Linked DNA regions of Drosophila melanogaster. The protein of the gene in region 1 interacts with the protein of each later gene in a pairwise test. Each region holds a gene or a part of one and is shown in the gene's direction. Other genes may lie near its edges.

Evidence for each region. Proteins that work in one complex are often made in the same cells at the same time.
Region 2: the proteins of Pex23 (region 1) and CG42336 interact in a two-hybrid assay, tested with the Drosophila melanogaster proteins (one large-scale study listed by BioGRID).

What each region holds. Positions count from the first base shown.
Region 1 is NT_037436.4:20,296,627-20,303,875, reverse strand, and holds Pex23 (peroxin 23), read left to right. Parts: upstream 1-1,734; 5' UTR 1,735-1,854; coding exon 1,855-2,919; exon of another isoform or gene 2,920-2,975; coding exon 2,976-4,378; intron 4,379-4,400; exon of another isoform or gene 4,401-4,466; intron 4,467-4,647; coding exon 4,648-4,911; intron 4,912-4,972; coding exon 4,973-5,672; intron 5,673-5,730; coding exon 5,731-6,312; intron 6,313-6,377; coding exon 6,378-6,416; 3' UTR 6,417-6,747; downstream 6,748-7,249. Other genes in the region: SCCRO4 (squamous cell carcinoma-related oncogene 4), read right to left, coding at 531-643; FRG1 (FSHD region gene 1), read left to right, coding at 6,976-7,034, 7,087-7,249. UniProt on the Drosophila melanogaster protein: Involved in peroxisome biogenesis.
Region 2 is NT_033778.4:11,293,981-11,297,091, reverse strand, and holds CG42336 (uncharacterized protein), read left to right. Parts: upstream 1-1,849; 5' UTR 1,850-1,921; coding exon 1,922-2,410; 3' UTR 2,411-2,556; downstream 2,557-3,111. Other genes in the region: CG18336 (uncharacterized protein), read left to right, coding at 2,827-2,842, 2,904-3,111.

The sequences.
Region 1 (7,249 bases):
ATTTAATAATTGGACTGTGTTAAATAATATCTATATTCAGCTAAAAAAAACTTTTTTTTTTTAATATCGGCAGAGACTAATAATTTTTGCCTTTGAATGCCTTTCGATTTTGCCACAGATTTTGATTAATGTTGAGATAACATAATAATAATTATAACTTGGATAAGAACATTATTGGATACAACACAAGACGGGTGAATAATAGGATGATTATTGTGAATCTATGAATAGAGCAAGTGAATCAATTTTCATTTTACAGAAATGCCAGTATTTGTTTTTTTTTTATGAAAAGTATATAAACCATGAAACCAAATCGTCGCGAAGATGTGAATATGAAAATGATAACGTATTAATTAATAAAATAACAAATTCTTCAGTGCCAGGTGTGGGTAAATCTGGCCGTTCCATTGAAATATATCAGGCATCAATGGCTTAGGAATCTCTACACCGGAAACCAGATGCTTTTCCCCGGAACAGATGATACAACACCAAAGGGCCTTTGTTCTTGTTTCCTATTTTCCACCACTCACCTGCTGCTCTGTTGTGTGGGTATGCTGGTGTAGCTGGTTCGGGCCCTCTTCGGTTGACCATGATCCATGTTGTCGCTAATAGTATCTGCAGCTCGGCGTTTTCCCCGTGGCATGACTTATTGTGATGTGTTTTCCAGAGTCAGTCCGTTCCGTCCGTCGGATTTGAGTTTTGCTGTGAATAGCACACTTAGTTCATTCGCTATTAGCGAAAATGTTTGAATTGCACTTACCGCAATGTTTCCCAATATGACCAGTTTACTTTAGCTCCGAAGTAGTTATCTGTGGGGTATGAAAGAATCCGGTTAAAATGGAGCCTCAATCACTTGGTGGTATGATATTTTTAGGGGAGTTTTTCGGGCAGACCGACCACCCCCGATACGCGGATGCAGCGAAGAGGTTTCACGGGATGCACAGGACATCGCGGTATACATATAGTGGCTATAGTATATATATGGTCGATATATGTGTGTCTACCAGATGAACGTTTGTACTCTGTAGGCGTGCGTACATATGTTTTACTACACCAGAGCACGAAATACCGGCTGCTGGAAGGGCCTCGGTCTCGACTCGGTTCGCAATACCGGGACTACGGACCGGGGAGCACGGCCATTACGGGGGATTGGTCCGTGGTCGGCCTCCGGGAGCCACAGCCAGCAGCTGATACGACCGACCGACCGTCTGGCCTGCGCGTGCTCGCTTTTCTGCGTCGAACGTCGCAACGCCGAGGGGCTCAGTTTACGGCTTTCCTTTTTAACTGCGACCGGTAAATGGATCTTAAACTGGGTGCGCTCGGTTAAAGGGATCCGCCCGTGCAGTTAGGGGAAAGAACGGTTCAATTTTTACCATATTTTTCAAAATCAATCAAAATTTCTTGGCGTCAATTAGAGCTGGGTTGGCCACTCGCGATAGTATCGATACATTTAACACTGATGGGGGCAAGGACTATCGGTGTCTTGGATTTGATAGACCCTGGTTTGCGAAATTTAACGGCACTATAGAATTAACAGGGCTGTCGCATTTCCTTGGAATTACTTATTACACATTCTTGTTAACACATAATTTTCTGACATGCTTTATTTTAAACGGGCTTCGAAATAAACAACAATTTTAAGATATAAAAATAAAATATTAAACATTTGCATTTTGGCTGTTTTTAGTGGAAACACAACAACCACAACGATACTATCGCTTAGGACTCGGAAAACAGGTGTGCCATCACTGACTGTCTAGGTCTATTCTTCAGAAAAATCAATTTTTCCAATTTGATTGTAAACACGATGCCAGACAGAAAGAGGCCCCTTGGTCTTTAGTAATAGATCTCAGGATGCCGAGCTTCTACCTATTCGCCGCCAGCAGTGAAGGGCGCGTCTACACGCTGTCCACCAACTCCGGAGCGTGGCGCGAACTTCCCTATCTGGGATTGGAGTTCAAGAAGATCTGCGCTGTGCCCAACTTTTTGTGGGCCATTGGCGGCGACCGCCAGGTGTACGTTCATGTGCACGGTCTGGACGTGCCCATTCGGATTCGGGAGGAGTCGTACGAGAACGAGCGCTGGCTGCCCATCGAAGGATTTTCGAAGACGCTGCTGCCCACTGATCGGTACAGATATTCCTCCGCCGATGGCAGTGTGGAGCGTGGTGTGGACAAAATCCGACTGCCCTCGATGGCGTGGCAATGGGACGGCGACTGGCACCTGGACTTAGAGCTCGATGGACAGCCGCTGACCGAGGATGGCTGGATGTACGCCCTGGACTTTCCGGCCACGTACTCGGCAAAGAAGTCTTGGAACTCGTATGTGCGACGACGCAAGTGGGTGAGATATAGGAGGTATGCAGCCTTGAATAGCTGGTGCGCGGTGGCACCACTACACAAGGATCCCACGCAGGAGCCCTTCATAGACGTGGCTATAGGCGGCACTTGTGTTCCCAACGCTCCTGCCGGCACTTTGTGTGTCTGGGCCATTACCGCCCATGGCAGGGCTATGTTTCGCACGGGGGTGTCCAAAACGGCGCCCGAGGGTCTTCGCTGGACAGCTGTACCCACGCCCACGGGCAGTGAACTCGCGCAGATCAGCGTGGGACCCACAGGATTGGTATGGGCGGTACTCCATAACGGCCGAGTTATCGTACGTACTGGTGTAACCAGAGACAACCTAGTCGGTGACTCGTGGTTGGATGTCAAAACCCCCGTGGCCGCCAGTAGCTTGCGCATTGTTCACGTTTCCGTGGGCACCGATGCTGTGTGGTGTGTAACCAATGATCATCACGCCTGGTTCAGGAGAGGCGTCAAGGGTGAAGCAGCGGGCATAAGCGAGGATTCGGCCATTGGCAAGGGCTGGGTGGAAATGGTGGGAAACATTTCAATGGTCTCTGTGGCGGCCAACGATCAGGTAAACCAGTGTTAGATCTACCCAATTATCTTAGATATGAACATACTCTTTCGCAGGTCTTTGCCATTGGAGCCGCTGACCGTTGTTTGTACCACCGCTCTGGGGTGACCTCTGCCGACCCTACTGGCAAAAAATGGCGTTTAATTCAATGTCCCATGCAAATCAGCCGCACTTCTAGCTCTCTATCCATAGTCTCTCGTAAAAGCGGCGGAAGTAGTTCAACGCCAGGCTCAAAGCACCAGAGCTTCTCCAATTTGTACTCCAAGGAGAAGGAGAAGGGTGTGGTAGAGACGTGTGCAGTTATAGAAACTGTGCTCAACAGCTCTACGGGCTCCTGCTCTAGTAATGGCGGTCCACCTGGTCTTCTTAAGAACGAACGTTGGAAACTCAGTGCCGATTCACCTCCGACAATTGGAAGTCTGAATCTCAACGATCGCCACAAGCAGAGAACGGCGGCGCTTCGCGAAACTTCACATGCTTCCAGTGCTCCCGCAGCGGATGTGGTGGAGGTGGTAACTGGCAAGTTTGAGACCCAGCTGAGGAATCCAAGAGCTTGGTCTCCCGTCCGAAGTGTTGGGTCCGTCGTGGGCACTGAAGCGCATCCAGAGAGCGATTCGACCGTGTTTGAGTCGGACTCCACGCACCATGGATCGGATGTGTTTCTGGGAGAAGATGACGACCATACGGGATCACAATTTTGGACAGAATGCGGGATACTATGGAGCTGCGTAGCTTCAGGTGCTGTGACTGTGGATGCCAGCAACATGCCCAATTGGTTTAACGAGCAGACGAGCGACAGTAAAGTGGACGTGAATGCCAATTGGCGAAAGGATATTGTGAACAAGTTGCAGCGACGTCAGGAGAAACTGGCCAAGCTTCAGACTGTGGCCAAGTTCGAGAAGGCAGTGGAGCTTTCTTCGTGGGTCAAATCGGCGGATGCGCGCTATCAGCGACCTGGAGGCGAGTTTGAGGATTGTATCATCGAACTTGAGTGGGTAAGCAGTGGCAGTGGCACTGACACAAATAGTAGTGAAAACTCGCGATCCGGGGACTCTGGAACTTTTACGGTACTTAGTCCGGATGGAGCCGCCACGAAGATTCAGTTCCCGTTGTCAGACATCACCTGTGTTCAGTGCTGCAGTGAAGCCGGAGCACCGCGGATCGCTATTCATGCTCCTCATCTTCCCGTAAACTGTTCGCCCGTTAAGCTACAGTTCTCCAGTGACTCGGAAATGGAGGACTGGTTGTCCCACCTGTCGTCAGTCTGTAGCCAGATCAACACTATGGTGGGAAAACCGGCTGGCAATGCGATCTGGATAACCAGCGAGTTGGGCGATGTCTTTGTGTTTGATCCCGCCAACATGAAGGCACATCAGACAAGTGAACCCAGCGAGGGATACGTGGAGAAGATGGATGTTTCCACTTGCGAAACTCCATACTACAATACTCTTTACAATGGGTAAGTGGGCTTAAAAACTTACCTGTCGGTCGAAGATTCTATTAAAATTTATGTGGTAGGATTGTTTTGTGAAGTATGTAGGTATTATATTGTTTAAACTGCTATGATAGAAAAATATTTTTGAGTGATGGATAAATCTAGCGCTGGAGTTTTGTTGAATTCAAATTGTTCAATTTATCCAAGCAGGCAATTTACCAGAAGCTTCGTATTCCATTTAATTCTAAAAGCTTAATTTTTTAATAATTACCTCCTGTATATGTTAATTTCAGAATGCCATGTGGTACTGAGCTAGAGATATCTGGCTGTGTGTACGATGACGCTGATCAGATTCGTTTCGACTTGCAGTCGCATTCTGCAGTAAAAGTTCAGCCTCATCGCGTGGAGAAGCATCGGGTCATTGCTCTGCACCTGAATCCCCGTTTCAACGAACGCACCACGGTGCTCAACTCGATGAAGGAGTCCGAATGGCTGGACGAGATTCGCAATGACAAAATGGCCTTTGCTCCCGGAGCAACTTTTTCGTTGAAAATAAGGTAGGAATAGAATCCTGGGAATGAAATCGAATGCCTAATACATACTTGAATATCCTTACAGGGCTCTGCAAGATCACTACTTGATCATCGTGAACAATGCCGTATATACCGACTACAAGTACCGCATCGATCCGGAAAGCGTGACGCGGCTTTATGTGAGTGGCCGTATTAAGCTTTTCAATGTACTCTACCGCTGCCCCTCCCTAATTGTCTCAATGGAGCGCATGCACTGGCGCCAAATGGGCGGTCACATTAAGAGGATTTTCAACAGCGGCGTGGATGTGGTGTGGGGCATATCCTGTGACAACACTGGCTGGGTTTACAACGGAGGCTGGGGAGGAATGTTCCTAAAGGGCTTGGAGGGGTCCGGCAAAATTAACCCAATGATTGACACACACACCTACTATGTGTACGAAAATCAACGTTGGAATCCAATCAGTGGTTTCACGGCGAAGAGCCTGCCGACGGATCGGCACATGTGGAGCGATGCTACTGGGCGGCAGAAGCGGAGCAAGGAGCACACCAAGCTGCTGTCTACGCACTGCGAATGGATCTCCGATTGGGCCATTGACTACAACATTCCTGGGGGCGCGGACAAGGAGGGCTGGCAATACGCCATCGACTTCCCCGCCAACTACCATGCTCACAAAAAACTCACAGATTGCGTGCGTCGACGAAGATGGATGAAGCGATGTCGTCTTAGCAGCAGCGGACCATGGCAGGAGCTTAGTCAGTCCAAAATCCTTGATGCTGCCCTGCAGGTATGGTTCTACTTAAAAAATTCTCAACATGGTTGTTTTTTAAACATTTTCCTACTAGGTATTGGATGAAGATGTGGATCACAGCTGTTCGGGTGAGAGAAACACAGCAGTGGCTGCCTGGGCGATTGCCTCCAATGGTGATGTCCTCATCCGGCATGGTGTATGCAGCTTAAACCCTCGTGGCGATGCCTGGGAGCACATAACCAGCGACCAGCCGTTAGTTGGGATCAGCGTGGGGCCCACAGGTCAGGTGTGGACTGTGGCGCGCAACGGCATGGTGTTCTTCCGGTATGGCATCAGCAGGCAGAATCCGTGCGGCGATGCCTGGCAACAAGTGGAGGCACCCGCGGGTGTGACCTTTAAAGCGATAAGCGTGGGTCGGGCTGGGATTTGGGCGCTGGACAACCAGCAACGTTTGGCTGTGCGTAAGGAGATTTCGAGGACTTTCCCTGAGGGCTCCCACTGGCAGTTTCTGCCCAATGCCGCCAATGTGCCACCGCACACGGATCAGCATTGTGGCTTCCGCTCGGTGTCCGTGGGCTCCGAGGTGTGGGCCATCTCCCTCAATGGTATCATTTGCAGGCGCTGCGGAATTACAGAGGAAAATCCTGCAGGCGTAGGATGGAACCTTGGCATTGCGGTATGCAATCTAAACATTGGGTTGGTTGAATTTATAATTAAAAAAAAATACCCTCTCCATTTCAGGGCCAATGGCAAAATGTCTCTGTCGAAGGATATATGTGATGGAGTTGAATACTTTATTTGTGCATTCCTATTTACTTACGGACGATCCTGTTTGTTGTATTTATTCATATTTACAAGCTTATATGTGACCATGCCAACGCTTTTTCCAAAGTATATGAAAATAAGATGTTTCCTATTTAAGCTATTTGAAACGTATTATTTACACATATTTATTTATAATTTATAATAATAATTTATAAAAGTATGTATCTAAGTCAAATGTTTAGTTTAAGTCTTTTGTTTAGTTTAACAAATCCAGCAGCCGTGATTGTATTTCCTTTTTGTAAGCAAATATATAATGAATTACGAGAATAAATATATGTATGTGATGAAAGATGAAATATGTCTTATCTCTCACAGATCAAAAATCATTTGATTTTAATTTTTTTACCAAGTTAATGAATGGTTTGAGTCCGTACTTTTTAAAATGTACGCTTACAGTATTTTATTGGTAAGATATCGATAGCCGATAGACCAGCTCATCTGCGATGTTGTATCGCATGTTTGTTTATTGTGTTGTAAACCAAAACTATATCAACAATTTACCTATTTTGTGACGATGTCAGACTACGATCATGCACGCATTAAGAAATTGGTTCTAAAAGGCGAGAAACTCAAGTATGTAACTACAAATCTGCCAATAGCATCAATTGAAATTCTCGATTTGTAGAAAGAGCAAAAAACGCAAGAAGGAAAAGGATGAGGCTGGATCTTCCAAAAAGGCCAAGGTAGTAGTGGATGAGGATGCCGTGAAGCACGGCGGTTGGTGGGCAGCAAAGACAGCGGCCGACATCACCGGTACAGTGTCCATAGAGTTTGGCGATAGGAGTTAC
Region 2 (3,111 bases), on another chromosome or scaffold:
GGCCGTTTGATATGCACAGCTGTTGGATGTTTGGTTTTTCGTTCTTATCTGTTTTGATTTGAGATACCCTCGATTCGGATTGCCTTTGCGATCTTTTGTCTTACGTGTTCCATCTGGCCAGTCCGTCTCATTCCGGTTTTCTTGCGTACGTAGTCAAAAGTTTGTGGTTCTCAAGAGCGATAATGGCCCTCTGATAAGGAGTCGACCTGCCACCGTTCAATAGACTCTGTCGTACAGTCAAACCTCCGCCGCAAAACGTACCTTTTTGAAATCTTCGAATTTCCAGCATCTCTATTTTGAACATTGCTAGCGTATTTTTGCAGAGATCTTCAAGCAAAACATATTGGTTCCAAAAGTAACTTAATTAAAAAAGCCATTTCTAAATGAGCGTTGTATATGTTTTATAGGTAGAAAGATTAGAAGTGTTATCTTGATATAACATTTATATTAGCTGAAACATTGAATTCCAATTCTAGTGCTTGATATTGCAGAAATTAATAAAAGATCTATAAAATCAGTTCGCGATGTTCGTCTTGAACAATTCAAACTGTAGACGTTTATATGGTGGCCATCTTGTAACATTGTAGCCATCTATCGCTCGCGAATGGGACGGCACTCTTTACTGGGGTTTTGTCTTTATGTACTCGTGTGTCCGGCACTGATTAGTGGCTCTCCCTTATCGCATATGCACACATATGCTCTCCGCAATGCCAACTTCTTGCGATCACCTTTGAAAATATGCTGACGAAGGCAGGAGGCAAAACGAAAAGCGCAGCGAAAAGTTAACTAGTGGGCATATCTGGGAATAATGAAATACAAGCGACTGATTACACACGAGTGGCGGCTTATAATTATATTGATTTTAATATAAGTTTTAGAGAGACTCATTCAGTCCTCCCAAACAGCAGAAGCCGGAGCACGTAAGCACCGGCGATCTAGCGCCAAAATTAGTTAATATTGGAAAGTGTGCGATTTGGGGGGGATTAAATATCGTAGTTTATGTGATTTGTACAATCGTTATTATCTCTGCATGCCGCGTGTCAAACTTGTGTTATAGATAATCAAAATCCATTTTCGAATTCGATTCGTTTGTTTTGCCACGTTGTTTGTTTCTGTGATTTTGTTTGCCCCCCCAATAGCATGCTGAAATGCAGAAAGTAGAACCATAAACCGAATACCATGATTTCCTATATACCATCCATTCAGACGCGAACCGCTAAAAGCCAAAGAGCCCACAGAACCCAGCCCGTAAATTAAAGCCCCAAACAGAGATTAGATCATGGCTGAGGATCCGGTGAACCAGCAGGCATTCGCTGAGGACGTGGCAGCTGCCGCTGCGGCTGGAGGAGCCGGCGGTTTTGCCGGTCCCGAGCCCGGACATCCCGACTTTAAGATGCCCAGTGCCGAGGAGATCTGGAAGCTGGTCGAGGGCATGGAGGGAATTTCGGACGACGAGCGAGCCGAGCTCCGCGAGAGCATCTTTAACCCGAAGCCGCCGTCGCCGGAGGACTTCATGCGCCAGTACGGGCATCCGGGCCACAGTTCCCGGGAGTACCTGGTGTTCTTCGTGATGCTGGCCCTCATACTCATTGTCTTTGGTAAGCGTCCTCCGGAACGAGCCACTAACGAGTCGTATAACCCTTATCGGGCGCGATATACGCACCCACCTGGGTTTCTGCTTAAAGGGCGATAAGGTTTTAGGAGGCGGCTATGTCGAAGCACTCACTCACTCGCTCACGAGCCACAGCTAGAATGTTTGCTTCGTTTAAAAGCGTTCGATTTTTGATAAGATAACCAGTGGTAAGCGTAGGATCCACCGCAGACATAGGTAGAGTGGAATCCAAAGAGCAGTATTTGCCAGAGACCCATGCCGGGCTGTAGTTGACACACCACTTAGCCCCTTTTCCGAACAACCCAAAACATGAGTTGGTCGGGTTCCAGTGACGAGCTCGGGGTTATTGAGCAGCTGAAAAAGTCCGTGGAGTCGATCGTGGCCAAAACTGGGCCCAGCAGCAAGTTCTCCAAGGATCTCGTCCAGCGGATCGGCGAGATGCAGAGCAAGCTGGAGTCCCTGGCCGAAACGGATCGGCATGTGTTTCTCGCCGAGATGAAGGACAAGTTCCAGCAGACGATTGGCAGAATCGAGGAGCGAATAGTGCAGCACGCCCATTTCGCACAGACCTACTCCAGTTCCATAGTGTCGGCAGTGATCTTTCTCTTGGTCTCCATATTCGGTCTCAGTTCCCTTGATCGCATAATGTATCAACGTCACCTTACTAACCGTCTCCCTTCTTTCCGCATTACAGCTCTCTTTGGCTACAAGCTGTACAAATCCCTGACGGAAAAGGAGCTCAAGAAGCAGGAGAAACTGAAGAGCAAGCAACAGAAGAAGGCCAAGAAGTCAAACTGAAGGAGATGGAGGCGAGGATATCATTGACGTAGTGCACTTTCCGGCCCTGAGACCTTCCATCTTGTTAATCAATACAATCGCCCTGTAAATGACTAAATCATAAACCAGTAAACGTAATAAAATAAAACGTACCCCATAACTCTTTTAAATGCCACGGTAATTGTGTTGTTACGACGAGTCGAATTAATTGCCATTAAAATACGGCATCAGGAAATGCAAATCGGTGTCGTGACCTAACTTGTTGCTGCCATCTAGGCAATCCGTCCAATCCTGGCCTCCGTTGTCATGGGAAACGGGGTCGTTTTGTCGAAGCTTCTCCTGTCAGGCCAGCTATTAATAGTTAAATTCAGTTTCCAGTTACCCAGTTAAGCAGCAACACTCGGAAAGGATCAACAATTTTTGCGGAAATAAAAAACATGTCCTATTCCAGCCGTAAGTTAAAAGCTCAACCATGACTTATCTATTAATCTAATGTGTCAACATGCCCTTCTAGGATTTGGTTTCGACTTCCATCTGCCGGATGAGGGATGGTGCTACCCGAAGAACGACATGCATTTCATCCGCAGCGCGGAATGGGTGCCCGTGGAGAAGGCAGGCGTGGGCCGCTCATTCGCCAATCCCAATGGCGTGATCTATCCGCGGGTGGTAGGCATGATTCCACGCTACGGCGGCCACGTTCCGGGCAACAAATTTCGTGTGGG